Danio rerio: one gene and its partners. The protein of the gene in region 2 interacts with the protein of the main gene of each other region in a pairwise test. Links are inferred from orthologs where the notes say so. Each region holds a gene or a part of one and is shown on either strand. Other genes may lie near its edges.

Region 1 (10,910 bases), on a different chromosome or scaffold from region 2:
CGTGAGAGAAAAACTTTACACAAAACCCCAGACTCCTCACTTGTCTGACATGCTCTCCAACTATTTAATAATAGTGAGAGAAACTAATTCCCCAATGAGTCTCTCTTCCTTGTGAGCTATATAAAGAGATGAGATTGAGTAAGAGTCCAGTGACTGAGAGCAGAAGCCAGTAGGGAAGTGGCTCATGTGAAAAACTAGTCTTTGCGATTCAGCACAGCAGAGAAAGAGAATCAAACCAGTGCAGTTTGAGTGGCACATGGCTACCACAAAAACCAGAAAGTTGCATGTCCATATGGTATCACATAGTCTCAGGCAGTTTCAGATCTCCCAAATACTCTCAATTCCCTTGTAACACTGAAGACTATGGCGTTTGGACTGAGAAAGGAGTCTTTCAGGATTTCTCTTTCTCAATAACGCACACTGCTGGTTTCTCTTCTACTGTAGGACTAATCAATCTCGGTTCTGTTCTCTATAAATCTACCGTTACTTCAGCCATTTACAGTTGAAGTCAGAATTATTAGCCCCCCGTTTATTATATTGATTTTTATATATATATATATATATATTTCTCAAATTATGTTAAACAGAGCAAGAACATTTTCAACGTGTGTCTGATAATATTTTTTTCTTCTGGAGAAAAATTATTTGTTTTAATTCGGCTGGAATAAAAGCAGTTTTGAACTTTTTAAAAACCTTTTTAAGGTCAAAATTATTAGCCCCTTTAAACAATTTTTTTCTTAATTGTCTACAGAACAAACCATTGTTATACAATAACTTGCCTAATTACTCTAACCTGCCTAGTTAAACTAATTAACCTAGTAAGGCCTTTAAATGTCACTTTAAGCTGTATAGAAGTGTCTTGAAAAGGGGATGTACGATGGATATAATTTGTTGATGTAAATTGTTCATACGCTGTATTACCAGATGTTGAGAGTAAACATTTACTGCTTCTTTAAATGTTCAGACCATTTGACTTTTGTCACTACAAATGTCATTATGCTACTTAATATTGTTACCCATCATCTTTGGTTTGCTTTATCAATAAAATAAATCATCTGACCATTCAGTGGGGGGAATTTTTGAACAGTCAAGATGGACTGCGACTGCATGATGTAAATGATGTTAATGTGCAATTTTGCACAATTCAGTCATTTATTTCTGTTATTATATATTTTTTGTATTTATTTTTAATTAAGCTAATCACACGTTAAAGCTAACAATTAAATGCATTACAATCGCATTAACAACGTTTTGTCTGAAGGGATTTGAGTAGATGTTAAATTGCTTAAATTTAATTTTATTTTATTTACTGATGATGTGTCCCATACAGTTGAACTAAGAAATATTAGCACCCCTGAATTATTATTTTTCCCCCAACTTCTGTTCAACAGATATTTTTTTCCAACACATTTAAAAATAGTTTTAATAACTCATCTCTAATAACTGATTTATTTTATCTTTGTCATGATGACAGTAAATAATATTTTACTAGATATTTTTCAAGACACTTCTATACAGCTTAAAGTGACATTTAAAGGCGTAACTAGGTTAAATAGGTTAACTAGGCAGGTTAGGGTAATTAGGCAAGTTATTGTATGATGATTTGTTCTGAAGACTATCAGGAAACAATATAGCTTAAATGGGGCTAATAATTTTGACCTTAAAATGGTTTTAAAAAAATTTAAAACTGCTTTTATTGTAGCCAAAATAAAACAAATGAGACTTTCTCCAGAAGAAAAAATATTATCAGACATATATGAAAATTCCCTTGCTCTGTTAAACATCATTTGGCACATATTAAAAAAAAATCAAAGAAGGGCTATTAATTCTGACTTCAACTGTATATAAATAACCAAACACATACATTATAACTTTAAAAATAAATAATCTTTACTTTTTCTTGATTAAACATGACACATATTAACATTTGTATTAAAACTGTTAGCTGAATTATATGTGAAAGCATGTCTTTGTCACATTGCCAAATAGCTTTAACAAAAAAATGACATATCTGAATTTCAAGCTTTTATTGTTTGTTAAAACCTAAAAAAAATTAGCTAAAATAAAGCAACGGATAAAGAAAACATCATACAGGCCTTTCTAAATTTCTCACTGACAGAATTAGGCTTACCCTTTCAGTATTGTTTCTATTATTTGACAGATTGTTTGACAGCAAAAGGGAGAGTGTGTTAATGCTCTGTTGTGTAAACCCAAACAGCTGCACTACATTGCGCAAGCCAGAAAGACACACGAGTTTTGAACTGCAACATTTCTCAGGACCCTCTTTTGGGAGGCGAACAATAGCTTAAGCCAAACATCAACGCCACGCCCATGGGGTCGATGTTGCTACAAGAGTCGCGAGCCACACTTTCACGCGTGTACTGCTGCACGCGACAGGCGCGTGGGAGCCCTCAAAGCCACTGCCGGGAGCTGAAACCACAGCCGAGCGAACGACGAAACCATTACAAGCGTCCGGACATCTAAAGCCTATTTAAATACGCGTTTTAGGTGACTCGAGCAGAAATGTTTTGTTTTGTCCCACGTATTATCGGGAAGTTTTATGTGAGAGTTTATCCTATCGCGGATTTTAATGAAAGCGACGCGTTTAATGTTTAAAACGTTTAAAATGTAGTCGTTCGCACAAAATTTCGTCAAAACGCGCATGACTTTGAGAATCTTCCGCGGAACTAAATGTGTTGCTGCTTCACCTGTAGATAGCATATTATATAGGTGTATTTAAGTTATACGTCGATGTTTGATAAAGTCATCAAAGGAAGTTCGGTTCGACTTTTCGGAACGCGGATATCAAAGAAAAGGTTGCGTCATGTTTCAGCAGTTTGGAATTTAAAGCCGTTCGAAAAGAACATCGTCATAATACGCACGACTTCAGATTTATTTTGGATAACTATCTTTTAACTTGGCTAGTAGATCCGTATATTTATGTTATACTTCGATGTTTTTAACATTGACATCAATATCGTAAATATATGGGTAAGATGTGATTCTTTGGGATTTGGTGTCTGAAGAGCCGGAGACGGGAGGAATTGTGCAGCTGCAGTGAGCTGGAACAGCAGAGGAGGCGGTGCAGACATCTCGACTCCATCCCGTGGAGAACTTGTCAACTTTCTGCCAACTTTAGATTGTTTTCTTGCCATTTTTATTGTTAGCTTTTTGTCAGGAGACAGAAACGTAAACGTAACTCTAAAGCCGATTTATGAATAAAGTCATGTTCTGCTGGAGCTTGTAGGCTACATCAGAAGTGTGAGCTTTTGCTTATTAATCCGCTTTGACACTGAACAAGTTTGTTTTTTGTCACTTTCAAGGCGCACGCTGTCGATTCGTTTCGAGAAACCAAACTTTTTAACTTAGGCCTTTATAACATAGACTATTAACTTTTTTAAACTTGATCCCACAGACCAGCTTCTATTATTAGGTAAACTTGTCAATCTATAATCGATATTAGGTCAGATGAGCGGCTGCTGTTAATGTTTAAGCTTCATCGTGCAAACGTGATGCAACAAAACTTCTTAATAAATACTGGCGTGATTTTATAAACTGTTTATCCACAGTACTTTTGAAATTCTACAGCCTTTTTCGACTTTCAAAACCCACCACAATTCGCAATTCGTGTCGTTTCGCACGAGCTTTCTCCGAATGACCCATTTAAACGAAGACGCTCCTCCTTTTATCCATAATAATGCATGACTAACTGGAAATACGTTCTACCTCGGGCGCATATTGAGATAAAGTTGAGGTAACTTGAGGTTGCATTAGCTACGTTTCAAAGTCTAGATTGTTTCGAAAGGGCGAGGAGTCCTCCAAGTGAAACGTAAGCAAAGAAATGCAAATGGATGCAGGTGTGCGGGCCTCGGAGCGCAGGAGAGCTGAGGTGACGAGCTGAACTCCGATCTCTCCGCGCTCGGCCCCATTGATCAGCTGAGGACCGGCGCTAACTAACTGGCCCCGTCTCCATAGCAGCCGCCTGGACGGCGCCGCGAGGACTGGCTGGAGGGCCGCTGTCAATGGGTGACGTCACGGGGCTGGCGCCAGAGAGTCTGCGAGAGCGTGAGCTCGCGGCGCTGCTCTGTAGTGCTGCTTTGCTTGGTGCCAATTCATCACCTGTCAGGGATCAGTCAGGGTGTCATGCGAAATGTACACAGCTGTGAGAACAAAAAGGGCGAGGGAGAAAATGGAAAAAGCCAGTTGCGGCAGATGCGGACGAGTTCACGATACTATTTCTTATGCGTCGTCGTGTTTGTAAGTGTCGCGCGCGCGGAAATAATGGTTCGTTGTTGTAGCAGAGGTTTAAAAAAAAACAGAATAAGAAATGTAAAAGCGTACAAAATGCTTTGTCGTGAAAATCGTTTTTTGAGGAGTGATAATGAGGTGCATTCCGATACATCAACACGACTGCATTCCGACGCATCTCCGCAAACATCTGTTTAGTCGGATATGCACAAGCAACCAGGAAATCTCTCCGTCTCCATTGTTACTTAGCATGTGTAAACAAAGAGCGTTTTTGTCACCACTATCGCTTTCTGAACTCACTGTGGGTTTCTAAAACATGGAAATATAATCTGTAGCAGGGTGACATATTCTTCACGGTCTTAAGAATGCGTTTTCACTTCAGCAGCAGTTTTAGGACAGAATTGTTTTCTCAGTCAAGTATTTTCATGACTATCAATATGCTGCAAGCATGCCTGCACTAGAGAGCAGGGGGAACTCGTCATCACTATTACATCTCAAAACGATCCTCATCACAGGCCATAAAGACTGCTCTCATGTTCCCCCACAGTCATGATGTGTGTAAACAAACATAAACATTAAGGGCACGCTATCAACGACAGAAAGCACAAACTTCAACTGCTGGTGCATCATTTTGATTTGCATCGTAAACGCAATAAAGAAACGCCACTCATCTTAATTTGACATGTTTTCTGTGTTCTAAATTAATGAATAAATATAGAATATATTAAAGACAAAATACAGAATCGCTGGAACTATAAGGTCAAGTGACTTGGTGTAAAAACCGCTGGGCATCTTTATCTAAAATCATGGCACTTTGCCAAAATAATGCCACTGACCTGAAGGTAAAAGTTGAAATCTTTAACACAGAGTTTACACGAGGAAATACAAGACTATTTGAACTGAAACATGTCGAATACATTATGTTCGGTTGGTTTAATGTTAACCGCAGATTGTATGAATCATACGCTGCATAATATTGCTAATACATAAATGCAACAATCCGTTTTCGTTTTACATACTTAGTATGTAGCATATTGTATGTTGAGTGTTCTGGAAATTCAATATAAATAATCCTAAAGCTAACGTTTTGGCACGTTATGACAATTACACTACAAACAAATGCGTGAAAACAACCTTATACTTGCAACTCACTAATTCTCCTGATCGGAAACAGGTACACTGATTTGAGAAATTATCCGTGGAAGCTGAAGGCAGTCAGCGCCACCCTAAACACGCGCTTTCACTGGTCAAGAACGCGGAAGAAATGGGCGGATCTTTGTCGCTCGGCCCAGCAGCCAATAGCGTAACGCGAAGGCGATGAGTGACTCGGCCTTCTCCACCAATCAGCACGTCGCAAACCAGCGAGTGAACAAACCCACCCAGCTGGGTATATATACAGCGATGACAGCTCGCTAATCCACTGCGTTTGCTTCAACAGCCCAGCGCGAACAGGGAATCTCGAACACAAAAAGGCGAGTCTTTTCAACGAAATCCTGCTGTCAACATGAAGGCAATAAGCCCAGTGAGGTCCTTCCGGAAAAGTAGCGCGAGTGTAACGACGACGGAGCACAGTCTGGGAATCTCGCGGAGCAAGACCCCCGTGGACGATCCTCTCAGCCTGCTCTACAACATGAACGACTGCTACTCCAAACTGAAGGAACTGGTGCCGAGCATCCCGCAGAACAAAAACGTGAGCAAAATGGAAATCCTCCAGCATGTCATCGACTATATTCTGGACCTGCAGATCGCGCTCGACTCCAATTCGGCGATAACCAGCCTGCATCACCCGCGAGCGGGGCAGGGGACATCCAGAACACCCCTGACAACACTCAACACAGACATCAGCATCCTCTCACTACAGGTGAATCACCGCCTACTCAATTATCTATCTATCTATCTATCTATCTATCTATCTATCTATCTATCTATCTATCTATCTATCTATCTATCTATCTATCTATCTATCTATCTATCTATCTATCTATCTATCTATCTATCTATCTATCTATCTATCTATCTATCTATCTATCTATCTATCTATCTATCTATCTATCTATCTATCTATCTATCTATCTATCTATCTATCTATCTATCTATCTATCTATCTATCTATCTATCTATCTATCTATCTATCTATCTATCTATCTATCTATCTATCTATCTATCTATCGTGTTGCATGCTTATTGACCTCTAATAACAAGGCTGTTTTGTTTTTCTAGACACCTGAGTTTCCATCAGACTTGATCACAGAGGACAGCAGGACACTTTACCGTTAATCAGGTAAGTTTTCTTGAAAATACAATGTTTTTATGTGTTTTTAATTTTTCTATTAAATGACAAGTATTTGATGCAGAGGGTTTAGTTGAGGAGCAGTGTGCATGTGTGAAGTTGCAGAAAGTGTGTTGACTTTGCAAAAGCGAAGGCAGAAGTTGTGTACTGGTGTACATCTGGAGCCCAGGGTTTTTTCGCTCAGTCTCTGAGTGTTTGGTTAAATGTTCAAACTGCGGCTTCCTCTCTGGCGCCAGGCTGTCCGGATCTCTGCCCTGTTTGCATTCTCTAAATGCGCCTCTTTCTCAATCTTTTGCAGGTGTTTGGTTAAGACACAAGAACACACAGGACCTGGGAACTGGCTTTTCCTCTGATTTCTGTTCTCAGTCTGGAGTTTTTTTTTCTTCTTTTCTTTCCTGTAATTGAATCAAGAGACTTTCTTTTTTTCCTCCTTCTCAAAGGACAATCCATGTGATGTGTTATGAGTTCGGACATTGATTATTTATCTTCTAAAAAGACTTTCTTCAAGAGGAAGAAGCACTATATTCCCTGAAAATAGGAGGGAAACCTGTAAATGATCACAAGGAACCTTTTCTCTGCATTGAGAAGAAGTCTTACCTTTTTTTTTTCTCGTGAAGAGCGGCGTGTGAATGAGAAGATGTGGTTAGTTATTGTACAAAGATTTAAGTCTGTTTTTTTCCTGTCAATTCTTTTGGCACATGAAGGACTGGACTTTTGAAAAAAAATAACGTGATGAAACCTTGTGAACTCTCTCTCTCTGAGTTTTATCCTGTATAGTTGCAGAAATTGGACTGCCGGTATCTGCAAAGTGTTATGCTGTATGCTGAGACTTTTTATAAAAGTAATATTGTAAATTGTACCTTTTTTTTTATACAAAATAAATCAAATGCTTTATTTGACGCTTGATTACTTTAAATGTCGATATATGTGCAGCATAGTGACCTTGCCTTTTATATCCAGGACTCTGAAGCATGTCACTGACCCTTCAAACTTGCACATTCGCCCAAGGAATGTTCTATTGAATCTTTCACATTGCTATATTGATTTGTGAAAAGCATTTGTTCCAGTTTCTAATGGGTCAGAAGGTGCTTTATCCTACTATATACATGTATAGCTATTCAACACTCTCAAAGCCTGAAAGATTCGATTGCGGTTTAATCTTACTCTGGTGAAACTTCTTTAAGTCAAACATTAATCATGAGTGTATCCACAAGTTCTCTCACTCGTATAATCTGCTATGCATGAAGCGGCAGTTAAAATGAGAGCTTGAGAATCTGTGGAATTCTGTTGTTAAAATAAATGATTTTCTGTAGGTTTATTATGGTGTGAAATAATAACTCTGAGCTAGCAGATTGATTTCATACTAATCACTTCTTACAATCAGTTTTTAGAGCCTTCTAGACTATGCAAGTGAAGCTGGTGCCATCTTAGTTTTAGTGACATGAGACATAAGAAATGACACTGTAAAAAAAAAATATGATCAATTGGTCATGACAACATGTTTTTATCTCATTCTAACTTATTAATCCAAGCTAATCATGTTCTAACTTAATTGTACAAATTACGCAAGCTGTTTTAAGTCAGTTTAACATAAAATAAATTCAATGGACTCAGGGTTATTTTATTGGTTCAGCTTGATTTAAGGCAACCAGGATTTTTTTTACAGTGTAGTTTCCATTGTGTGTAGGGAGTAATGCAACATGTGAAGGGGGTCTTTTTGTATGATTTTTGTTAAACTTATTTAACAATAGAAACAAGATTATAATGCTTTGCGAAAAATATTTATATTCCATATATCGATGCAAAGTGTGCATATCTAAAATTAAAGGTTGTGTCTGACATGCAGCTTAAACCACTAGTGGTGTTGTTGATATGAATAGTGCGCCACCTGCTGGTAGCCAGACCTAATCTTTAAAAAAAAAAAAAAAAAACTTCATGTATTCATTTAAAGAAAATGTGCAGTTAAAGTCAGAATTATTAGGCCGTTTATTTTTTTCCCTCAATTTCTGTTTAACGGAGAGATTTCTAAAGATAATAGTTTTAATAACTAATAACTGATTTATTTTATCTTTGCCATGATGACAGTAAATGATCATTTACTAGTTATTTTTCAAGACACTTATATACAGCTTAAAGTGACATTTAAAGGCTTAATTAGGTTAACAAGTCAGGTTAGGGTAATTAGACATTGTACAACACAATGTTCTGTAGACTATTGAAAAAGAAATAGCATAAAGGGCCTCATATTGTTCCCCTAATTTTTTTTTATTATTAAAAACTGCTTTTATTCTAGCTGAAAAGACTTTCTCCAGAAGAAAAAAATATTATCAAACATACTGTGAAAATTTCCTTGCTCTGTGATGTATTTAGCGTATATGTCCTGATCATTTGAGAAATCTAAAAAAAAACAAAACTGTTTATGTATTTATATAAATAAAGGAACATATGTGTGAATTGAATTAAGATAATTTAGTGTCCGGTTTATCAGCGTACACTATTAAAATACAACTAAAACTATAGGTTTTTGATCAATTAGTCCTGACAGCATATGTTTTAGGTCAAATGTGCTACGTTAATCATGTTCAAATTTAATTTTTATAAGTTAGTTTTACGTCTGTTTAACATAAAATAAGTTCAATAGACTCATAGGGTTCATTTCATTCAGCTTAAAAAGTTAAGGCAACTACATTTTTTTTTACAGTGTACAAACATATGCAACAAAAAAAAGTAAAATATGATTAAAGTGTCTGAATTTTATTTTGAAATATTTCATGCGTCATAAAATCAAACTCGTATTCAAAAGGGCTGAAAACAGTTTTAATGATTTGAGAAAACCAGACCAAACACTGAGGCAATTGGCCATACACAAATCACACTTTTCAAGAAACCTCTCTATCTCTTATAACACTGATCACTCATCTACAGCACTACAAACTCCAGAGGACAAACACAGGGATGACCTGAAGATGAACCGGACATTAAATCACCAATCAATAACGATGATCACAGCACTATGTAAGTGTGGCTAAATCCTCACTCTACTTGATAGGTTTGAATTTTGCGGACGGGCCTATGCTAGATCTTTAATGTTAGCAACGGAGCGTGAAATAACAGGATTTGCACTAAACACGTCAGAAACTATCAACAGCTTCACAGCCTCTGTTTATATTGCTTTTTTAAAGCAACACTAAAGCAACAATAATCACGTTTCTCACACTTTTAAACTGCTTCTTCTTCATCTGTATTTTGACTTTGTTTTACAGTTTAAAATATCCAAACATCAAGATAAATCCATGAACAAAAATAAATCAAGAATGAAAAAGGAGGAGATGTAGTATGTTTTAACAATAAACCTACTCCATATACTAAATGAAATCTATTATTCTAGGCTATTATTGATGTACAAGTACACCATTACGCTATACTGCCAAATAACGCTCATGTACATTTCTTCAAATGTTAAAATGTTCATAGAGGAAAAAAATAAACAATAACCTAAATTAATGTAGCAAAAGCATTTGTTAATTTTCCATTATCTTGAATGTTTCAAATCATTTATTCATTCAGCTTAAGTCCCTTATTTATCAGGGGTTGCCACAGCGGAATGAACCACCAACTATTCCCCCATGTTTTACACAGCAGATGCCCTTCCAGCAGCAACAAAGCTTTAAATCATATAAATTATATTCAACTTTTCCATAGCTAACACGTGTCAGTTTCTTTTTTTACGGATATCTCAATATTTCTTACGCAAAACAAAGCATAAACACTGATTAAGAGATTTTGCAGTGAATCTATCCATGTAAAGAATCTAACCACACAAAATTCAACACAGAAAAAATGAGAAGTAACTCGGCTTCAAGTTTACTTCATGTTTTATAGTAATCTCAAACCTTTCCAGTTATTTACCCTTCAGAAGTAAAAAAGCAGGTGTGTTCAGTTCTGTTCCTGAAGATCTTGCAAAGTTCAGCTCAACCCTGATCAAATACACCTGAATAAGCTGAACAACAGTGTCTAACTTTGACACGAGTGCAGACGAAAGACATTAAGAATGAAAAAAACGTTAACAGTGATTCTGTCCTGACTAGATGTGGCATAAAGTGAGCGACAAATCTTCATAGTCTCATTCTGTTTACGGATATAAAGGACATATAATTGGTTTGACCCGTGTTACGACCTCTATTTCAGGCGTAGGTTTGGTCCCTGAGAGCTGCAGTGCAGCAGAGTTTTGCTCTAATCCTAATCAAACACACCAGAACAGGCTAATCAAGTTCTGAGGGCTACTACATTGAGTTCCACACGACACAATTCCTTCATGTTTTCTGAAGACAAATCTATTAAGTTAACTTAACTGTTGTTAGAAATGTAGGTA
Region 2 (10,766 bases):
GAAATTTGAACACATGGAGAGGCTGAAGAGACAGAAGTACGAGGTAAGAAAACATGATAGAAAAGAGGACATTAAAATATGCAGTCTCTTAAAGTGTCAGTGGCTTTAATTCAACAACAATGTTCATCAGGTTACTACACTGCGCAGGAGAGTGGAGGAGCTCAGCAAATTGTAAGTTTCATGGATGCCAAAGCGCCCTCTGTTGTGCATGGCCTGAATGTGTTGGATTCAGTGTAGGGGTCTCATCATGTATAAATGGGGTGTATGCACGTTTTCACCTCCATTTTGTGATCTATAAATCATCATTTGATTTGTAAATAAATGTAAATTTATTCTAGCATATCAGTATCATACAATGAATACCTTCTCTAGATATCAATTTGCATATTAAGCATAAAAAACACACAAGACTATTACTTATTTAAGTCAAACAAATAATAATAATAATAATTTAAAACCTAGTGTGATTTTTATGACTATATATATATATATATAAATATATGCTGCTGTGTTTGTAGCAGCCATCAGATATTATGACAGTAATTCAAGCCTGTTTGAATAACCTACGGTGCTCAGCATATATAAGCACACGCCTCACAAATCTATTTTTTAAATCCATATTTTTGCTATACAATATTATATTTGCGCATAGGCTATACATTAGATTAGTCAGTAGTGAAGCCAAATCTAAAGCTTATCTAACAAAATAACTTACCATAACGGTCCAAAAACTAGTACACCCAATTTTTATGTTATAGAAAAATATTAAATACAAACTTTAAAGGAGGAAAAATCAAGAGAAGCAATAAATAAATAAATAAAAAATTAGTTGAAATTTTGTAGGTTGTAATTTTTTTTTGCAATATTTAGCGTGAATTTAATTGTGTTATTTTTCAATTTCTAAATTAGTTTGGTGACTAAAATATTTTTGTAATCGATTTATCTGTTTAATACATCTGTTTTGTTTAAACGCACCAAAATAGCCTACATCGCCTATATTCACTGAGAAACGATTAAAATATTCATTTTCAAAATGGGGTGTATTCAATATGCTAAGCACGGTATGTGCATGCCATGGTGTGAAGTAGGTAGAAATGAAGTTAGTTCACTTTTTTATTTTTAACTCTTGCACTGCAGCAGCAAGAAGGGCGCCGCCGCTCGTCGCAGAAAGTAAGTGCATCGCCCCGCAGGCCAAAACCACCAGAGTGATGAAGGATACCTCTGTGCTGACTACACAACCCGACATTGATCAACCCACTCTTTCTCATCTTCAACCAGTTCCTTTATATGCCATGTAAATAAAGTGTGAAAGCCTTACGATCATTAACCATGGTTTTATTATTGTAAAAAACGACGGGCTGATTAGCCTACCATTTGTATAATCAGAGGTTTGCTAAACAATAGTGTGACATCATGTTTTATTTATGGTTACCATACTTTAACTACAATAACTTTTTTTTAACCATAGTTAGTTTTCATTAGGGACTTTTCTTCATAACTCAAAGTCAATAAACCTTTTTTTTGTTTTTAGATGTTGTCTTTCCCCTTTTCTTTCTAATTCCAACACCAATGCACCATATTCCATGCACTGTATGTTAATATGTGTTGATGCTGCATCGAGAATAGGTTTAGAAAATCTCGACGACAGGGGCGCCCCCAAGGGGTGGCCAGGGGTGGCCACGGCCACCCCTCGGTAAACTCTGGCCACCCCTGTGGCCACCCCAATATAATTTTGCTGTTGACATTAAATGTACTTATAAATCCCAAATGTTTAAATAAATAAAATGCAGCCACTAAATTATTGTTGGTGTTACAGACGTAGCTGATTCATTGTCTCTCACCCTTAGTGCTGGTTTAATGGTGAATGCTGGTGAAAGCAAACTGACGCATGCGCGCAGAAAACAATTCCCGCGCGCCTTACGCACTCCTGTGTGAATCCCGGTTGGTTGTTTGCATGCACGCCGACAAAATACGCGCCGCTCATGCGCCGTGAAACGAAGTAACAGCCTTTTGTTCAGAGGTGAAAGTCGACTAAAGTTTATATAATATGATGATGATGATGATGATGTTACTTTCACTAAGCATGCCTTTAAAGCAGAAAGGAGGGATAATGAGTCAGGGAGGTAAGACTTCATAACATGAGTTCTCAGCCATGATCTGGTCTAAGACCACAGATAATTCTATAATACATTTTTTGTTTTCTTTAGAATTGTCATAATTAATTTTCATGCAAAAGTTTTCTTAAGTGATCTTGGCATATCACCCCAGTTGTTGTTTTCCAGTAATATTTAGGACTGATTTCTGTTATTTATTCAGAATAATAATTGTATATAAATAATAATAAAATAAATATAAATAAATTGTTATATTTATTGAATAACAAATCTAACAATTCAAGGGAGGTGTGGTGTATAGGGTGGTTCGCCCAGGGTGTCATTTAAACTAGAACCGCCACTACCCTCTCCGATCGTCGTTGACAGTACGCACATTCAATAGACAGCAATGGCTATTTAATATTTACCTTAAGGTCCAGTATATCAATAGAAGAAGCTGCATTAATAAAATGGCTCAAAAAGTAATATGGATAAAATGATATTATTAGGTATAGTGAGTGTGTATATAGTAATCCCTTTTGTTCAGTTTGTTCATTTGTTTGGGTTATTAATAAACTCATTATTCTTTCATTCATTTTCTTTTCGGCTTAGTCCCTTTATTAATCCAGGGTCGCCACAGTGGAATAAACCGCCAACTTATCCAGCACATTTTTACACAGTGGATGCCCTTCCAGCTGCAACCCATCACTGGGAAAAATAAACTCATTAATCTTCATTAATTGTAGACATGGCATATACCGTATGATATACAATAAAAGCATGTAAAGTTATTTATACAGTATATATATCGAGAAGATTCTCTCTCTCTCTCTCTCTCTCTCTCTCTCTCTCTCTTAATTGTGTAAAATTGTGTTGCTGCATCAACTTGCGTCTTCTTTTGAATATATTTTTTAAATATTTAATAGTCTGATCATTGAGGGTATAGGCTAAGTTGTGTGGGTTAGAACAGCAAAATAAACAAATTAATAATAATAATTAATAAATAAAAAACAGGCAAATATAGTTAGGCTACTTTGTTTTCCCAAGTCAGTGACAGTGTTATAATGCGTAAAGCTCACTACACAAGATGGTGCTATTGGCTTAATATCGTAAGTCTTGCAATGTATTAAAATGTATTATTTGTCCAAGTGGCATGGAAGGGTTTTCATAAAATAATCGATAAATGAACAATTTTCATTAAAATCATAATTCATTTTTGTCTAAAATCCTACGCGACATTTTATAAGTATAGACTAATGAAGGTAGCATTATGAACCTGAAGGTTTTTGCATGCAATACAATACAATTCTATTAATTGCACATAATGGATTTCTCAAAAGAACTTTAAGATTCTACATTAAAAATAGTAGTAAACCTTTCAAAAGTCTGAATTGAATGAACAGACTTGTAAAGGCAATCCATGGGTGTTAAAACTTTTTCCATCTAAATTTAAAAAGGGCACTTTCTAAAAAGAAAGATTTTTACACCATCCTATTATTATTATCATTATTATTATTATCATCATCATCAAAATCTGTATATGCATCCGTAAAGAACCTTTAGATCTAAATCTGTGAGAACTTTCAATAAAAAAAAGTTTCTTTATAATGAAAGTGGTAATATTTATATTTTGCAAATGTTCATAAACCTCATAGAATTGTTTTTAAAATGGCTCTGCTATTTTATCACAGCGAAAACATACGTTTGGTACTTTAGTTAGTGCAATATAAAGGTCTGTATATTTGAATTAAACATATTCATGCTGCTTGACGCGTAATCATTTTATGAAAATGGTTAAGCATCGAAATGTAAAAAAGAGAGACCAAGCATTTCATTTTCTTTGAAAATGCCTATTCCCTTCAGTTCAACATAAATAAAAATCTATTACACCTTTTTGTGTTGTAATAAAAGGCTAGTTGATTAAATTATTTTGATTCAGATGCAATAATAATCAAACAAATACTGAGGAGCATTAAATTGTTCTTGCAACTCGAATGGTTTCAGAACAACATGTAAACGATTATAATCTTATTTTTCAATTGCGTACTTTTTTTTTATTGTGATATCACTTTTAGCTACAACCTCGTGAAATAAGGTATAAATAAATCTAAATTGTACAGGCCTGTTTATTGTGTAACGCTAAACCGATTTGATTTCAACAAATTGATATATCACGTGTACAGTAGGCTAAATGTTTATACATCCAATAAATCACAACAAATCACATAGATATTCCAGTATAAATAGTTGTTTTTATTTATCCGTCATTCACTCGTTTAAGAAGTATAAATATAAAGTTTAACACAAGACACAACAAACTAGTGTTTCAAACAGGCATCATTAAATACAATAATATGTTTGTTCGTTTTCGTCGCTTTAACAAAACAGATCTTATTTACACATATACAAAAATGGTCCTACTATTCGTATCTGGATTACGATTTTTTCCGTAAATAATTAGGAAAATAAAAGGTGATGGTGACAGAAAATATATTCACAAAGGGAAAAAAATATGGTCACATTTTCACGTGGATATAACAATATAAATAAGCTTAGTTAAGAAACTCACTTCTGCTGATCTGCTGAGTCTTTTCTCATATTGGAATTACATTTTCCACCGCATAAAGAAAGAAAGAAAGAAAGAAAGAAAGAAAGAAAGAAAGAAAGAAAGAAAGAAAGAAAGAAAAAAAGAAAGAAAGAAAGAAAGAAAGAAAGAAAGAAAGAAAGAAAAAAAGAATTAGTCTATGAAAGAAAGAAAGAAAGAAAGAAAGAAAGAAAGAAAGAAAGAAAGAAAGAAAGAAAGAAAGAAAGAAAGAAAGAAAGAAAGAAAGCATTCTTTCCTAGTTTCCAGCAGTGGATCAAAAGTCTTTCTTTTGTCGTTAAAGGTCGGATTCGCCTTTTTCTGCTGAAAGTTTCTTCATTCAGATTGTCTTTTTCAATTTGTTTTGAAATGTTGCAGAATTTTAAAGCACTTGATAAATGGTTTCCTGAGCCTGCTGTTGAGGGCAGCTGGTCGGGGACGGTGCGGTGGTTCCGGTGTCACTCAGGACAGATCCCTCATGCGGAGAACACGGGCTCTCTTCGTGCCCCTCCGGTACTGACAGCACGGGACATGCAGGAGTCTCTGTGGAAATTCGCTCCACGATGCTGGACAGACAATCCAAACTCGACACCACTGAGTTTTTATTATTCCGTGCGTCAGCTAGAAAAAACAAACAAACAGAAAGATTTTTATTTTTTTAACTCAAATAAAATTAGTCTATGAGAATTTAGAAACATAATAGTTTACTTTTAAACTCAATCCAAAAGAATAGTTTAACTTTGCATAACAGTTAAACATTTTTTCAGCCAACTTATTTTATTTTATTTTTCGAGCAAACTTACCATTTGGTGTGTCATTGAAGTAAGAGCTGTCATAGCTGTTCCGTCTTCTCGTCTGACACGTTGGGCCCATAAAATCCATCTGGGAAACGAAAAGACACTTTAATCTATATTTATATTGAAAAGAAAATTAAATCAGCAAACACAAGAGATAAAATATTTACAAGCGATCTTTAATTATTCCCATCTTTCTCTTAAATGTTGAAAAATAATGTTGCTGAATTATCCTAAATTACAAAATCAGTGCAAAAAAACAAGTCCAAGTTTATTTGTCCAAGTAAACACTAAACGACTTATGGCTTAGCGACATCACAATTATACTGTAGCTATAGTATGTAAAAGCCTCAGTATATAAAATAAGTTTCTCACCATGCCATCAGAGCAGTTGGATCTCGGACTGGAAGCATCAGAGTCTCCACTGTAATGTTCCAGAACGGGATAGTAGTTATCCTCTTGACTTCTGAGAAGAGCCTGCAGAGACTCGATATAACTAATGGCGTTTCTCAGAATCTCCACTTTGGGCAGCCTCTGGTTCGGGTTGGTGGACGTGCATCTCTTGAGGGTCTCGAAAGCGTCGTTGACCTTGCTCAGTCGCCTCCTCTCCCTCATGGTGGCGGCTTTGCGACGGTCAGCATTGGTAGTTTTTCTCTTGCAAGCTTTGCATGCCCACAGTAGGCACCTGCCGGCCTGATGATGCCCACTGGGCGCCCTCACGTGCTCGTCCTCGATGTGGTGATGCTCGTCGGGTTTGAGCAGGCTCACGTGAACAAGCCTGGGGTCCAAGTCTTCAAAGAAGTGCATGTCGTTGGTGTTGAAGCAAGGGTCGTCGTAGAAGTCATCAGCTGATGGGATGGGGAAGGGGATATCCGACAACTCCATCTTTTTTGTGTTAAAGTTTAAAAAGCAAGAAATGTACTTGAATGTTTCCAAAGTAGTAAATTTGTAAAAAAAATAAAAACCAAAATTAGGAATAGTAAGACAAAGTCCTTCAGATCCCGAAATAACGTACGTTTCAAAACTACAGTCTAAAATTCGCAGGACCTCGGAGGGTTTCTTTGCATGTACCCCTCAGGTACTTGTTGCTGGTAAGAGATCAGGGCCTGATAATAAACACACCAGCTTGTCGGGGGAGGTCCTACAGATGACAGACTGACCAATGAACATGTGCGATAACAAGGGGGCGTGATTTTGACAGCATGATGCTAATGATTGTGTTATAAAAATGTAAGAATGATAAATTCCCTTAGAAATAATAGAAGTTTTATTTGCTTGTATACCAAATTAACATTTAGGCCTACTTGTTTATTTTCCATCAAATTTCAACTTTACAAATAAATTCAAGCATGAGCTTTGCTTTTAACTTTGCTTGTTAATGGAAAAAACAACCAATTGGTTTCTAATTTCTAATTAATACATTTTCTAATTGTATAATTTACTAGTGCTGAATTTGATAAGTCTAATATATTTGTAACAGAAATAATACGAGAATGCAAACATTTAAAATGTTGTTTTAATTATTATTAGTTTTGTTTTTATTGTTTTATGGATGTTTTTCCCTCATAGCGCGGCATTGAAAATGTCAAACAAATGTGAGCAATAATTAGCTACTTTTAAATACACACGCACATTCACACGTTTAAAAATTCAGAATAACATTATGCATGCTTTTCAGTTCATGGTGTTCAAAATGTACAGATAAAGATTGCTTGATCAATTTAGGTATGAAATATTTTAATGAAACACTGAAGGAAAACTACATTAAGCCAACATTAAACGTATATAATTTAGTAAAGAAATCGCAATTACATTTCAATTTTATTTTCCAACAATCTCAGAAAAAACATGAGCTGTCACAGTACATTTTCAAAAGGTACAAATTTGCACTTGAAGGCTTTATAATGGTATCTCATGGGTGCGTTTTAAGTACATTTGCGTACTAATATGCCCCATTTGAGGTACCATTGTGGATTCTTTGGGCACAAGTATGTATCTTTTGCAAAGGTACTGCCCCAGTGACAGCTCCTGTACCTTTATTTCTGAGAGTGAATGGACACTTTATGATTAATGTATTTGGTTATTTACCACGATCAGTCTATCAGGTAAAGAAAATGTATTTAAGAATTTATTCTTAATGCGGCCAACTTTATTTAGCCTTCTTTACACTGGCTGCTTGACAGTCTCAATAACAGTCCAACAAAAGGGGGCGTTAAAGAGCCAGATGAAATTACTATTTTGTTCAAAAGCCCCAAATACGTCTTTAGCCAGAATCCATGCTGCTGAAGTTGGATCAGCAAAATGTTTTATATAATAAAAAATACATTTAAATATGTATTGAATAACAACTACAGCAAAGTAATAATTGAAAAACCGACACAATTATATAAAAAATAAAATTCCCTGTTTCATTTTATAGTGTTAAAAAAAACAGGGTTAATAGAAAATACAAAATGGCATGTAAACATGTTTATTAAAACCGGTGCAGAATAAAATCAGTCACACAATACAGTTAATACACCCTATCTCGAAAATGAATATTTTTATCAATTTCACAGTAAATACTGGCAATGTATTTTGGTGCATTTAAACAAAACAAAATGTATTAAACAGATTTATTTATTAAAATAGCATTTTAGTCACCAAATATATTTAGAAATTAAAATAAAATACAATTAAATTCAAGCAAATTATTGCAAAAAAGGTACAACCAACTCATTATTTATTTATTAATTTTTTTTTTTTATTTTAGCTTCACCTGATTTTTCCTCTTTTCTAAATTTGTATTTAATATTTTTCTAGGTCACAATTTGTTTTGATTGTCTGTTTGTTGAATATATGTTACATTGCATCTACATGTCAACTGATTCTCAATAGATTAGCAGTAGACTGTTAGGTTTAGGGTTAGTATAAGTTGACATGTACTTGCAACGTTTCTTATAGTCAGTTAAATGTCTGTTGAAGAAGCAGTATCAACATATTAAGCAGTCAACTAATCCTTAAATGGACCATCAAAATAAAGTGTTATCTTTTTCTATAACATAAATTTGAGTGTACTAGTTTTTGGACCATTATCATAAGTTATTTTGTTAAATAAAGTCTAGATTTGGCTTCAGCACTGACTAATCTAATGTATATGCACAAATATAATATTATATTAATATTAAAATATAGCTTCTTATTAAAAATATGAATTTAAAAGATAGATTTGTGAGGGGTGTACTTATATATGCTGAGCACTGTATGTAAATATAACAATTAAATTTAAACTTTAATTTGACTTTCGATTACGAAAGGCACAGTAACTTTATTAGCATTAAAAAGTGCCATTTAAATAGTATTTACATTTGGAGGGACTTGTTACATAGGTCAAAACAAGATGTGCCATTTTGGTGCGCACATGAAATGATTATTTATATATTTTATTTATACAGCTTTAGTACAAATTAAAGTGTTTACTTTAAAGGGACATGTTCCAAAGTTGTCTGACTGTTTGCTTTTGAACACAAATGAAGATATTTTGAAGAAACATTGAAACTTGTAACAACTGACTTCAACAGTATTTGTACAACAAAATAGCGTGTTCATTAAAGAAAGAAACCCATAAATGTTTGGAACCACTTAAGGGGGAGCAATTAGTGAGTCAATTAAAATTAATTAACTATCCCTTTAATTAATGCAAAACTTTAGCAAAAATGCATCTTGTGAGAATTGGGTAAAGCATACTGATATGAAGGATAGAGGCAAAAATAGATCAAATTTGCAAATTAATCATTAATTGGGGTCAGTGCTATGACACATTATAAAATAAAGGAGTCATTTAAATGTCATGAAATTAGTTCAGTTGTAAATATACATGAAAATACGATATGGTACAGTTGAAATCAGAATTATTGCCCCCCCCCTTTGATTTTATTTTTTCCAAATGATGTTTAACAGATCAAGGGAATTGTTACAGTATGTCTGATAATATTATTTCTTCTAGAAAAAGCCTTATTTGTTTTATTTCGGATATAAAAAGTTAAGTTTTTAAAACAATTTTAAGGTCTCAATTGTCAGCCCCTTTAAGCTATATATTTTTTCAATAGTCTACAGAATAAACCATCGTTAAACAATAACTTGCCTAGTTAACCTAATTAAGCCTTTAAATGTCACTTTAAGCTGTATAAAAGAGTCTTGAAAAATGTCTAGTCAAATATTATGTACTGTCATCACGGCAAAAATAAAATAAATCAGCTATTAAAGATGAGTTATTAAAACTATTATGTTTAGAAATGTGTGGAAAATTTCTTCTCTCCGTTAAACAGAAATTGAGGAAAAAATTATTCTAATAATTCAGGAGGGCTAATAATTCTGACTTCAACTTTATATGAACTACTGTTACATATCAGTCAGTGTCTTCTGTAAATATACGGGAAAATATAGTAGACACTTTTAAATACTTTTCAAGTAATAATAAATTGGTTCTCAAGCTGTTCATTGGATATATACTGTAATGCTTTCTAAATGAACACAAGTCTAAGCAATCGTCAGGTTCTCTTGTAGCTGGTCGATGAGGAACTCGCCAAAGCCAGCAGCGCTGTCATCGGTGCAGCCCACTCTGCGAGCGTTGGTCAAGAGGTCGCCTACGAGCTTGACCTTTTGGACGAGGGGTTCAATGAACTGACTTTTGATTACACTGGCAGTGTGTGGATCGTCGTGCTCATGAGCCAGATGATTAATCTCCAGCATGACACTCATCTCCTCCTTCCACTGGTTAAGCATGATCTCCAGAGCAGGGAGGACAGCACACACCTGTTCAGTGCCGGGCCTCTGTGCACAAACACACAATTCATCAACCTAATGTTATCAGTTCAAAAAAAAAAAACAGCTGCTTGGTAAAAATGTACAATAAACAAACACAATAAATGCAAGTGTTACATAATGTGCAGTTGAAGTCAGAATTGTTAGCCCTCCTGAATTATTAGCCCTCCCTGTATATGTTTTCCCCCAATTTCTGTTTAACAAAGATTTTCTCAACAAATTTCTAAATATAATAGTTTTAATAACTCATTTCTAATAACTGATTTCTTTAATCTTTGCCATGATGATGGTACCTAATATTTTAGATACTAGTATTGATATTTAGTGCATTTTAAAGACTTAACTAGGTTAATTAGGTTAACTTCTGCAGTTTTGTTCTGTAGACAATCGAAACAAAATATTGCTTGAGAGGGCTAATAATATTGACCTTAAAATGGGTTTTTAAAAAATTAAAAACTGCTTTTGTTCCAGCCAAATAAAACATATAACATTTTC
Region 3 (9,700 bases), on a different chromosome or scaffold from region 2:
CTTCTTTTTAAATACTCTTCAGTTTAGGTCCATGAAATTTCCTCATGCACGTGTATGTGCTAAACCATATCTGTCCCCAGATATGAGCAAAGTCTGACAAAATGTCCCAAAACCTCATTTGAGGATATCCTTGACCTGGTTTATGGAGCTGATAACATAGAAAATAACAAAAGAAATTAGAAAGATAAAAACAAATGAATTCTGTTAAATCTTGTGTTTGGAGTTTGTGAGGGCCAGATTGATGTCTTCAGACTTGACATTCGGGGGGCTATTTTAAAAGTCATTTTCAGGCTACAGAAACAAATAGGCTCTGTTTGAGAGTATTGTAGGTAGATATGTTTTATTATAAAGTTACTGTAGGCTTTTTTCTTTAAGATTGGCTATTATAATTATACTTTTACGGCAAATAGTAAAAAAATGCAGTAACTGTATAAACACTCCCTCTCAATCAGTTAGTCAATATTAGATTAATCTTAGTTAGTTCTCATTTTCCATAAAAGCTACACAAGAATGGAATGTTTTACCAACTACTGTTGAAGATATAGAAATTAAGTATTTAAGGTTACATTAAAATTATGGTTATTCACTCGGTTGTGTCAACATTAAAACCCTGTACACTCAAAAAAAAAAAAAAAACTGCTTGTTCAGAGTAATTATTTATAATGAGCTGTTTCAACACAAATATTGAGATTTTTTTATAATAGCTTAATTGTTTTTACGCTCAATCAACTTGAATTAGTAAAAAAAAATTATTTAGCTTACTCGATTTGTGTTGGGACAGGATGAAGGAATTGTGTGAAAACCAGCGTTTTATTTTAACGTTACATTGTATTTGACCTTTAGGTCTCTTGGTCACTTTGTATTTATTTTTTTATTTTAAATGAATTGTGTGTTTTATTTTTTATGTATTTTAATTACATTTTCTTTAGGATGACTTTTAACATATTGTCCAGGAACTAACCTACAGATGAAAAATAGCATTTGGCTAATTCTGGTACGTTTAGAAATGTTTCATTAATGTACAATGTCCCTGTTAACTAAACAGATAAAATAATATAAATATACTATTGATAAACTATATACAATAGAGCTATTTTGTGGTTACCATTTGGTTGTATTTGAAGTAAATCCATGATTCAAAAACAATCAAAAATTGGCCTAATTACCGTGTCCTCGCGCTAGGACCGTAAATGTCTAAATCTGTTTAAAATATAAACAACTCAAGTGTTGTTTTTATGAAGTTTATGGTACAAAAACGTATATTAAGAAATATATTAACGTAAAATCTCGTCAAAAAACAAGTCTGAAAAACTTTGTCTGAAAAAACAAGCTTCGCCGTGTGACCACAGAAGGGCGCTAGACGCTAAACTGTCCGGCCTCAACTAACAAAACTAGTTTCCTCTTTGACAAAAAGTGACTCCATTTATCCACCTCATCATTAATAAATCGTAAGTATCATCCAATAAAAACAACCCGCATAAGAATTTTCTAAAAATTGGGGTTTCTTACAGAATATCCATCATATTTCGGTCAAAACCGTCTCGTAGTTGGTGTAGGCTAACACACAGTACACAAATACACAAGCTAGGCTAAACGCCACTTAGTTAACATGAAATTGCTTTAATTTAGGGTGGGAACACTCTTTATAACCACAATTCATTTCAAGTATCTCGCAATGGCCTGGAAACAGCATGTCCCCATTGTCTTTTGTTTTGCCGTTGAGTTTGAGTTGATGTTAGTGGGAAAGTTGGCTGCAGTGTGTGGCGCTATGTTTAAATGCGCTAAGTTCTTATTAAAAGAAGCTCTCGTTGTAGTATGTGGGAAACTATACAGAGGGAGTGAGAGTTCCTTGGCCGTGTTCCCGGCCCATCTGCAGCCCGGGCTTGCGGATTACTGTTTGTTAATGTTTCAATCAGCTGTGTGCCGAGGAATGTGGAGCGATTTAACCTGAACTTCCCCAGGTGTGCGGCGGCGCCGTTCAGTCTGCGCCCTCCCCTGCCCTTGGCACAAAGCGATCACACAAACACAATCACACACACTGGCCGAGCCGCACATCGCGAGGCCTGCAGCTGCGCGCATCACACCGCAGGGAAATGAGAAAAACATTGCACCAGGGAGACGGAATAAATCTTATAACGAACTGCCTTTTTCTCGGAAAACACTTAACCCTTCCGCTACCCGCCATTGAAATACAGAGATGCACAAAATAAGCCTAGAATAAGACTTTTAAAACTGTTAACGAGTGTCACTGTAGTTAAAAATAACTTCTGATGAGTCTCTAACAAATTAAAGCCTAATTATTTAATTAGTTTTCCCTCTTTTTGATGATATTAGTTAGGCTATCTGTCATATAGGCCTAGCTGCAGACTTTTCCATGTGAATTTTCTTTTAAATTATAGTAATGTCAAGGTAAACTCGTTTTAATTTTACAAAAATATATTAAGATTAAACAGTTGTAGATAAACTAACTTGCCGTTTTTGATAGTTTTAATTAGTATATATGTTGTGAATTGTAATAGTTTAAATAGGTATGTTTATTTGTTTCAGCAATGATTTTAGCAAGATTAAATGATATATTGAAGTTTAATCATTCTCATTAAACTCATATTTTTGAATTCAGACTCCCTGTGAAATGTGATGAATGTTTCATATAGCCTATTGGATATTCATTATTTTACCCTAATTATTGAGTTGTATTGGTTTAAATTAACCGTGTTTAGACCGATCTTGTAATGTTAAACAATATTTTGGGCTTGGAAAGTTAATTAACACTGTTACCTTTTTTCTAATGTAACATCTTTAAAATTTAAAGTTAAAACTTCTCCTTTTATATCAGGTTTATTCAATTATATCATGAACAATTTTTATTTGTGTAGTTAGTGACTTAAAACTGCTAATTTGGTTCTGCAGTGAAAAGCTGTACTGATAGGCTAAGTTTAGTTTCAGTGTAATCACCAATGACAAAAGTGTAAAGTGAGAACTCATAAAACTGATCTGTAACGATAGACGTCAGGCTAAATACAGGCCACCCTAAATTAACAATTATGTAGTGACATGATTACAACATGTTACAGTTAAACGTTTATTAAGCCTACAACTACTAGATAATAAAGCATAAAAGACTCCCAATAACAGAATTCTCAATCGGCTCCATTCACTCACAAAATTGATCAACAACTCCAAGATAAGTTTGATTTTCATGTTTTAATAAAAAAAACACAATATACATTGTAAAAAACACAATAAAGCGTTCACATCATATGGCATTGTAATATACAATACATTCTTTCGCTCAGTAATCTGAGAAATCTGACAACAAAATAGTATTTTTTTCTAAAAAGTTACAAAAACATTGGAGAAACTTTGACCGAGAGGGAAATGCATGAACAGTAAGTGAATAATCGCCATGGATTCCACAGCTAAACACAGACACAAACACACACGCGTATCGGTGTGTGTCCGGGGAGAGATCTCAGAGAAGGAGAGAGCACGTCACGCTTGTCATGTCCACAGATTTGTGTGACTCTCTACTGAAAGTTTGTTTCCTCTACAACAGGAGAATGAGACTCTCCCGACACAGTTCACGGCGTCACTGGTCCATCGGGGTTTGTTTGTTCGTTCACCTCAGCGCACCGTGATCACGATGCTTCGATGATCTGTTGACGTGAAGCCACCGGGAGTATCTGCTTTAACGGCACATGATCCGGTCATCTGAACAGCCGTTCTGCAAGACAAAAAGAGGGAACATAGTGAGTTGGGTCGTTCAGACAAACATTATTGATATGCATATAGAGACGCAAGCATTATATCTTAAGCATGTGCGATATTTACCTCCACAGAGATGCTGGCTAGCTCCGCGTTGAGTGTTGTGAGCGGAGTGCGGGGAGCGGAGCTCTGGTTCTTCTTGCTCTCCAGCTCGACCTGCAAGTCCCAGATGTAATCGATGACATGCTGGAGAATCTCCATCTTGCTGGCTTTCTTGTTGGTCGGTAGCGTGGGCACCAGCTCCTTCAGTTTGCTGTAGCAGCTGTTCATGTCTTGGAGAAACATGGTCATCTGCTCGTCCAGCAGCGGGATCTTGCATTTGGAGATGGCCAAGCTCTGATCGGAGAGGCAGCGGACAACATCCTCTCCTCCAACTTTGCTGCTCTTCAGCGCGCAGGTAGGTCCCACAACTTTCATTTTGGCTATTTGCGAGTAAGTCAAAGAGGAATAGCTGAAGCGAGGTGCTCGTACTCCTTTTAAAGGCTTGTTGAGTTGTCGATAGTGCGATGACAGTTCACCACATGCTCTCAGAGGCTGAGCTGTTCGTTATTTAAAGGGTCTCCGGGCTTGGGGGCGTCACCAAACACTCGTGTTTGCGGGAACGGGCCAATAGGATTTTTGCGGAGTCCCTCGCTCAGCCAATGAAGGCACGGCTCTGTTATCGCAGTTTCAATATGCTCGGGGGGATGGTGTTACAAATGGAAACAAATGTGTGTCTTCTGCGGATGATGTGTGGAGATCCAGCTGTCCGTTTACTCCACAGGTGAAGCAGACAGATCAAGGGGAGGGTGGGGGTGCTCGACGATCAACAGGCAACAGTTATTACTTTCAAATGAAACAAGCTTTTCTTCGTATGTGGGCTGCTGCGAGAAACAAAGCATACTGTAAAATGTTCCATCAGCATCTCTGTTTCCATCCATTCAGCTTGTTGCAAATATATCTGTCATTGCTGAGTTAACTGCACCCTGAACACATGTGAGTGGACATGATGGCACCATGACCTAACATTTATAAAAATGTTATGATTTATTGGGGAGGTGGATGCGGGGTATTCATAAGTTGAGGGAACATCATTTTAAACAAACTATAAACAATACATCACAACCCCCTTTAAACACTGAATCTAAAAGAATTCTGTCTGTTTATTATTTTCATCACATGAGTGTAGCTAATTCAAATGTAGATTTCAAACATAAACAATCAAACGTTATACTTCATTCCCTATTAAACAAACCAGAAAACAACATCATAAAAGGTTTCTTAGAGATCTTAACTCATGACTGTCTAAATAAATTCACTCTGTGAATTATTTTATTGTGTCCATAATGCAAATATCAAGTAAGCAAAACAGAGAAAGAGGACACTTTATACTTATATTATGTATACTGTAATGCATGTTGAATATAATGTTTTCATCTCATAAACCCAAACAAAAGTTTTAAAGTATCTAATGCAATCCTGTGGTTATTATTTTCTTGTCACATGATAACAAAATGGCTTCATGCATGTTTGTCATACAGATTTTGATTTGCCTGACAAGCTTTCAAAATAATGCATTAAAAATAAAATATTTGACTAGAAATGAGTATTTTATCAAAGTATGTGTGCAGATAGTTTAAAAAACTACAGATTGTTAAAAAGGAGCAGTGGTCAAACTTTATTTGTAATGCTTATTTAATCTTTAACATCCATAAAATCTTACCATTGCACATAAGTTTTTTTTAGAGGAAGGTAAGTGTTTAGAGTGTAATGTTTTTTACAAAAAGTTCTTCTGACATCACTGCAAAAGAGGGATCTGTTTCTGTACACAATGCAATACATTTTAGTGTGCTTTTAACTGTTGTGCATGCACATAAAGTATTCATAGTCTATTATCCTACAGTAAGTGCATTACTTGTAGACTGGAGCTTTATTCTATTGTGCTGGGAAGCTCATTTTTATTCAAATCTGTTTATTTTCCTTCAATGATGGTCTCTTTGTCTTTCTTTAAATGCGTTTCCTCGCGCAAACTTCCAAATTCCTTCATATGTGCGCGTCGCCTTGAGCGCGCACTCGCATAACTTTGCATTGCTGTGCTCTGATTCTTCCCCCAGATTGTCCAAACAAACCGAAGCAGACTGCCGGGCGCCAGCGCCGTGACGTCACCCATTCATTCGAGCCTTGACGCCTGTCAGCCTGGCGCCGAGCGGGCGGTCCCTATAGCAACAACAAACAACAGGCTGGCATCCCTCCACTCTCCCCCATTCACCTGCGCGCTGCGGAATCCTGAGAACAAACTGGTCAGCGCTCATTTATCACTTAAAACCTCTGATGCGATTACCGCTCCGCGCACCTGCAAACTGCCATTGTCGTCCCGAAAGACTCTTGTAAAGACACAAAAAGTGAGAGACAAAGTGAAAAAGGGCTATTGAGCCGGAGGGGCTTTTTTTTAGATTCCAGCAATGCTTTTATTTTATTGTATAAAAATAAGGCGAATGCTAATTATTTTTAAATGCTAAACTTTATTTAAAAATACACTAAGTATTAATTAAATATAATAATTGGTAAATTAACGTTATTTTTTTATACAAATCTGTTGCATATAATGTTTTAAATAAAAATAAACATTATAACATGCATAATTAAATAGGTCAAAATGAAAAAGAAGCAATTTTGTGACAAGAAAATGATAAAACACTGATAACTCGCAATGTGCAACGACAATTATTATTATTTTTTTAACACTTAAAATAAAATCTAAATGCGCGTGCATGGATTTGTGCACGTTGTTTTGAGCGAGTGCATAGCTCTGCATCCTGCAGGCAGGAGCGCGAGGGACTGGAGCGTTTCTGGCTCGGTCACAGCTGAGCGGGGTTGAGGGGAGGCGGAGGAGGAGCTGAACAATGGGAGTGCAGTATCGGGACTGTGAGAGAGAATCTCGGCTGGAGCCGACGAGTCTGGAGCGCCCCTCCACTCGCTCATCCCGCTTTTGTTCAGCTGCGCAAGCTATCAGCACTTCCTACCGACTCCAACAATAAGCCCTCACAGCTGGGCTCTCCAAAGCCTGTTTACTGCACATCAAGGCAAAGAGAGGCAAAGAGTGTAACATCCCCCTTACACACACTCACACACCCTTATGAACTCTGGTAAAATATAAAACATATTCCTAGAAGCAGAGAAAGGACGTTCAAAGGAAAAAGTTACAAATTATATATGCTTTATTGCTCAATTACCTCATATGCTGGCCACTGGACAACAACCACTCCTTACTTATTTGTTCAGTAAAACATATGTGATGTGCATCAAGTGAGCCTATGGTTTTTGTACAGGACCATTCAATAATTTATTTTGCATATACTGTAAGACCAATTATAGAAAGTTATTCAGCTCTGCCAATGGTTTAAGACCAGGATAGAATAATTAATTAAATTATTCATTCATAATTTGTGCCTATAGTTGCAGTAGACAATACTGCATATTTACATATTTAAAATGAACTTTTAGATACCCGTATAACAAGGAAACTTTTTATTTTTATTATATTTATCATTGCAGTATACAAATAATATATTGAAATAACGTGAATTTAGATGTAATAGAACATAATTTTATTCAATATACTCAACTAGAACACAGAAATCATTCATTTATTCTTTCATTTGTTTGTTTATATTTGTAAATGCAGCTTAACTGATGAACTAAATTACAGAAACCATATAGTTCTTGTCCCGATTACACTCTGACCTGACTAGTTGTTTCTCACAATATGTCAGAGAGCAGGAAAAAGCTGGTGCGGCTGGTGTGAATACTCGTCTTTTTCTTGTAGCATCTGCATGCATCTTTGACTTTTCCCTCTCATGGGAAGAGTGGCCTCAGATAATTGTCCTCGAGGGAATCGCATCCTGTCAGAAGTCATGTGATCGCTGTCTGACAAGGCTGCAGTGTTCTGTGCTGTGTCATCAGCTGGCTGTGAAGTCTTTAATTCACAACATCACAGCGACACAAAGCTGCAGACACAGAAGGGAAGTGTTCAATGCAAAGTGCAATAAGACAATGCAGTTCACTAGGAACAGACCTAATTAGCTTCTGTGAGTCATACTATGACATAAAATCAACCTGAATAGCTTTTCACGACACGTTTGACTTCCGTAACATGACATATTTCTGATACTGAGTAATGAGGAAAAAATGTAGTGTGGGAATTGAATGCATCCAGTGGGAATTGATTGGATGTTGGCCATAAAATATTAGAATGAGGCTATGAATAAATGCAAGTTTGCTTATGGATGTTGTTTTGATAATCAGCAAGGCCTGGTGCCAATTGAAATACAAAGTTGTTACATTTGTAGTTATTATTTTAAGGTATACATTTGAGTTTCCGGGTTCCCTCGCTTCTTGACAGTACACTTTAAAAATTTAATGACAAAAAGTCAAGGCAACAAATCTTTTTATGCTGCTTTATTCATTCATTCATTCATTTTCTTTTTAGCTTAGTCCCTTTATTAATCTGGGGTCGTCACTGAGGAATAAACCGCCAACTTATCCAGCATAAGCTTTACGCAGCAGATGCCCTTCCAGCTGCAACCCAACACTGGGAAACACCCATACACTCTTACATTCACACACATAAACTACGGCCAATTAATTTATTCAATTCACCTGTACCACATGTCTTTGGACTGAAGGGGGAAACTGGAGCACCTGGAGGAAACCCACATGAACACGGGGAGAACATGCAAACTTCACACAGAAACACCAACTGACTCAGCCGAGGCTTGAACCAGCGACCTTTTTGCTGCGAGTTTGTGCTACTCACTTGTGCTACCCACTGCGCCACTGTGCTGCCCTATGTTGCTTTAAATAATAAGTTAATCAGGTTTCAACTTTTAAGGTATACAAAGTTTTACTTCATTTTTATTAGTCAGTTTGATGGATGTAAGTTAAGATGACTAGAAAAGTTCATTTGATTTAACTAAAATATTTAAGGCAGCAAGAAGTGTTTTTTTTTTACATTGTACTTGATTTTATGCCCTGGAAAGTACTTAAAAACAAACATAGGTCAGTGAAAGTTCTTGAATTTAAAGTTGTATGTGTTATTTTAACAATTGTACTGTGCTGCTTTCAAAAACTGAACGAAAAAACAGAAACAGAACTTCTTAATTTAAAATTCTTAAATTTAAACCTTATACATGAACTATGACAAGTAATGCATTTTATCAATACTTCAGAAACCGCAATTGAATAGTTTTGAATTCAACAAATGATATTACGGTTCTTTGTACATGAATTTAAATAAGTTGTTTTAAGCGTTCAGTTTTAACAACATTCAAAACATCATCATTATGAAACTTTAAAATAAATATTAGGTGTATGTGAAATGTTAATAATATTAGTAATATTAGTAATATATATTTATAATATTAGTATATTAGGAATTTTTTAAAAGTCCTTAAAAGTTCTTGAATTTGTTGTCTATAAAAGAGTAGGAACACTGCAGTTAAAGCATTGCCTGGAACTTCAACCGATAACTATACCTACACAGAATCTGCGCATGCAGAAATCCGCAGGTTTTTAGCCCATCGATTCTGTTTATTTACTTGTGTAAATGTGTGTAAATTTAAATTTATTTATTTTTTCAATCAATTTCAGTAATATTATTGTCTAATATGAAAATGTTCATATGATTTATTTACAATGCAGTTTGTAAAATAATAATTTCTGTCTTTTAGTAGATATATTATATGAGAGACTTGCTTTGTTTACCAAATAAAGTGGATCTAATTGGATTTGCATTTTAAAAATTAAATAAAAGTAAAAAGGTATTACATTTTATTTCATATATTAAGGTTTTAGTTATGATACTCCTAAAATCATTCTGCATAAATCCGTAGATTTATAACAAAATTCCGCAGAAAAATCTCAAAAAATGTCTGCAGATTCTGTCTGGGGCTCTAAC

The links.
Region 1: the proteins of myod1 (region 2) and id2a interact in a two-hybrid assay, tested with the Homo sapiens proteins (2 studies listed by BioGRID). The link is inferred for Danio rerio from reciprocal best matches to the Homo sapiens genes MYOD1 and ID2.
Region 3: the proteins of myod1 (region 2) and id1 interact in a two-hybrid assay, tested with the Homo sapiens proteins (5 studies listed by BioGRID). The link is inferred for Danio rerio from reciprocal best matches to the Homo sapiens genes MYOD1 and ID1.

The regions. Positions count from the first base shown.
Region 1 is NC_133192.1:36,526,618-36,537,527, forward strand, and holds id2a (DNA-binding protein inhibitor ID-2a), read left to right. Parts: upstream 1-5,685; 5' UTR 5,686-5,752; coding exon 5,753-6,109; intron 6,110-6,468; coding exon 6,469-6,525; 3' UTR 6,526-6,529; intron 6,530-6,836; 3' UTR 6,837-7,856; downstream 7,857-10,910. UniProt on the Homo sapiens protein: Transcriptional regulator (lacking a basic DNA binding domain) which negatively regulates the basic helix-loop-helix (bHLH) transcription factors by forming heterodimers and inhibiting their DNA binding and transcriptional activity.
Region 2 is NC_133200.1:33,820,777-33,831,542, forward strand, and holds myod1 (myoblast determination protein 1 homolog), read right to left. Parts: upstream 6,533-10,766; 5' UTR 6,354-6,532; coding exon 5,844-6,353; intron 5,557-5,843; coding exon 5,478-5,556; intron 5,296-5,477; coding exon 5,057-5,295; 3' UTR 4,326-5,056; downstream 1-4,325. Other genes in the region: tnnt3a (troponin T type 3a (skeletal, fast)), read left to right, coding at 1-43, 131-171, 1,138-1,174; zgc:172145 (Ferritin light chain, oocyte isoform-like), read right to left, coding at 9,987-10,280. UniProt on the Homo sapiens protein: Acts as a transcriptional activator that promotes transcription of muscle-specific target genes and plays a role in muscle differentiation. Together with MYF5 and MYOG, co-occupies muscle-specific gene promoter core region during myogenesis.
Region 3 is NC_133186.1:20,794,106-20,803,805, forward strand, and holds id1 (DNA-binding protein inhibitor ID-1), read right to left. Parts: upstream 4,295-9,700; 5' UTR 4,183-4,294; coding exon 3,832-4,182; intron 3,725-3,831; coding exon 3,689-3,724; 3' UTR 3,186-3,688; downstream 1-3,185. UniProt on the Homo sapiens protein: Transcriptional regulator (lacking a basic DNA binding domain) which negatively regulates the basic helix-loop-helix (bHLH) transcription factors by forming heterodimers and inhibiting their DNA binding and transcriptional activity.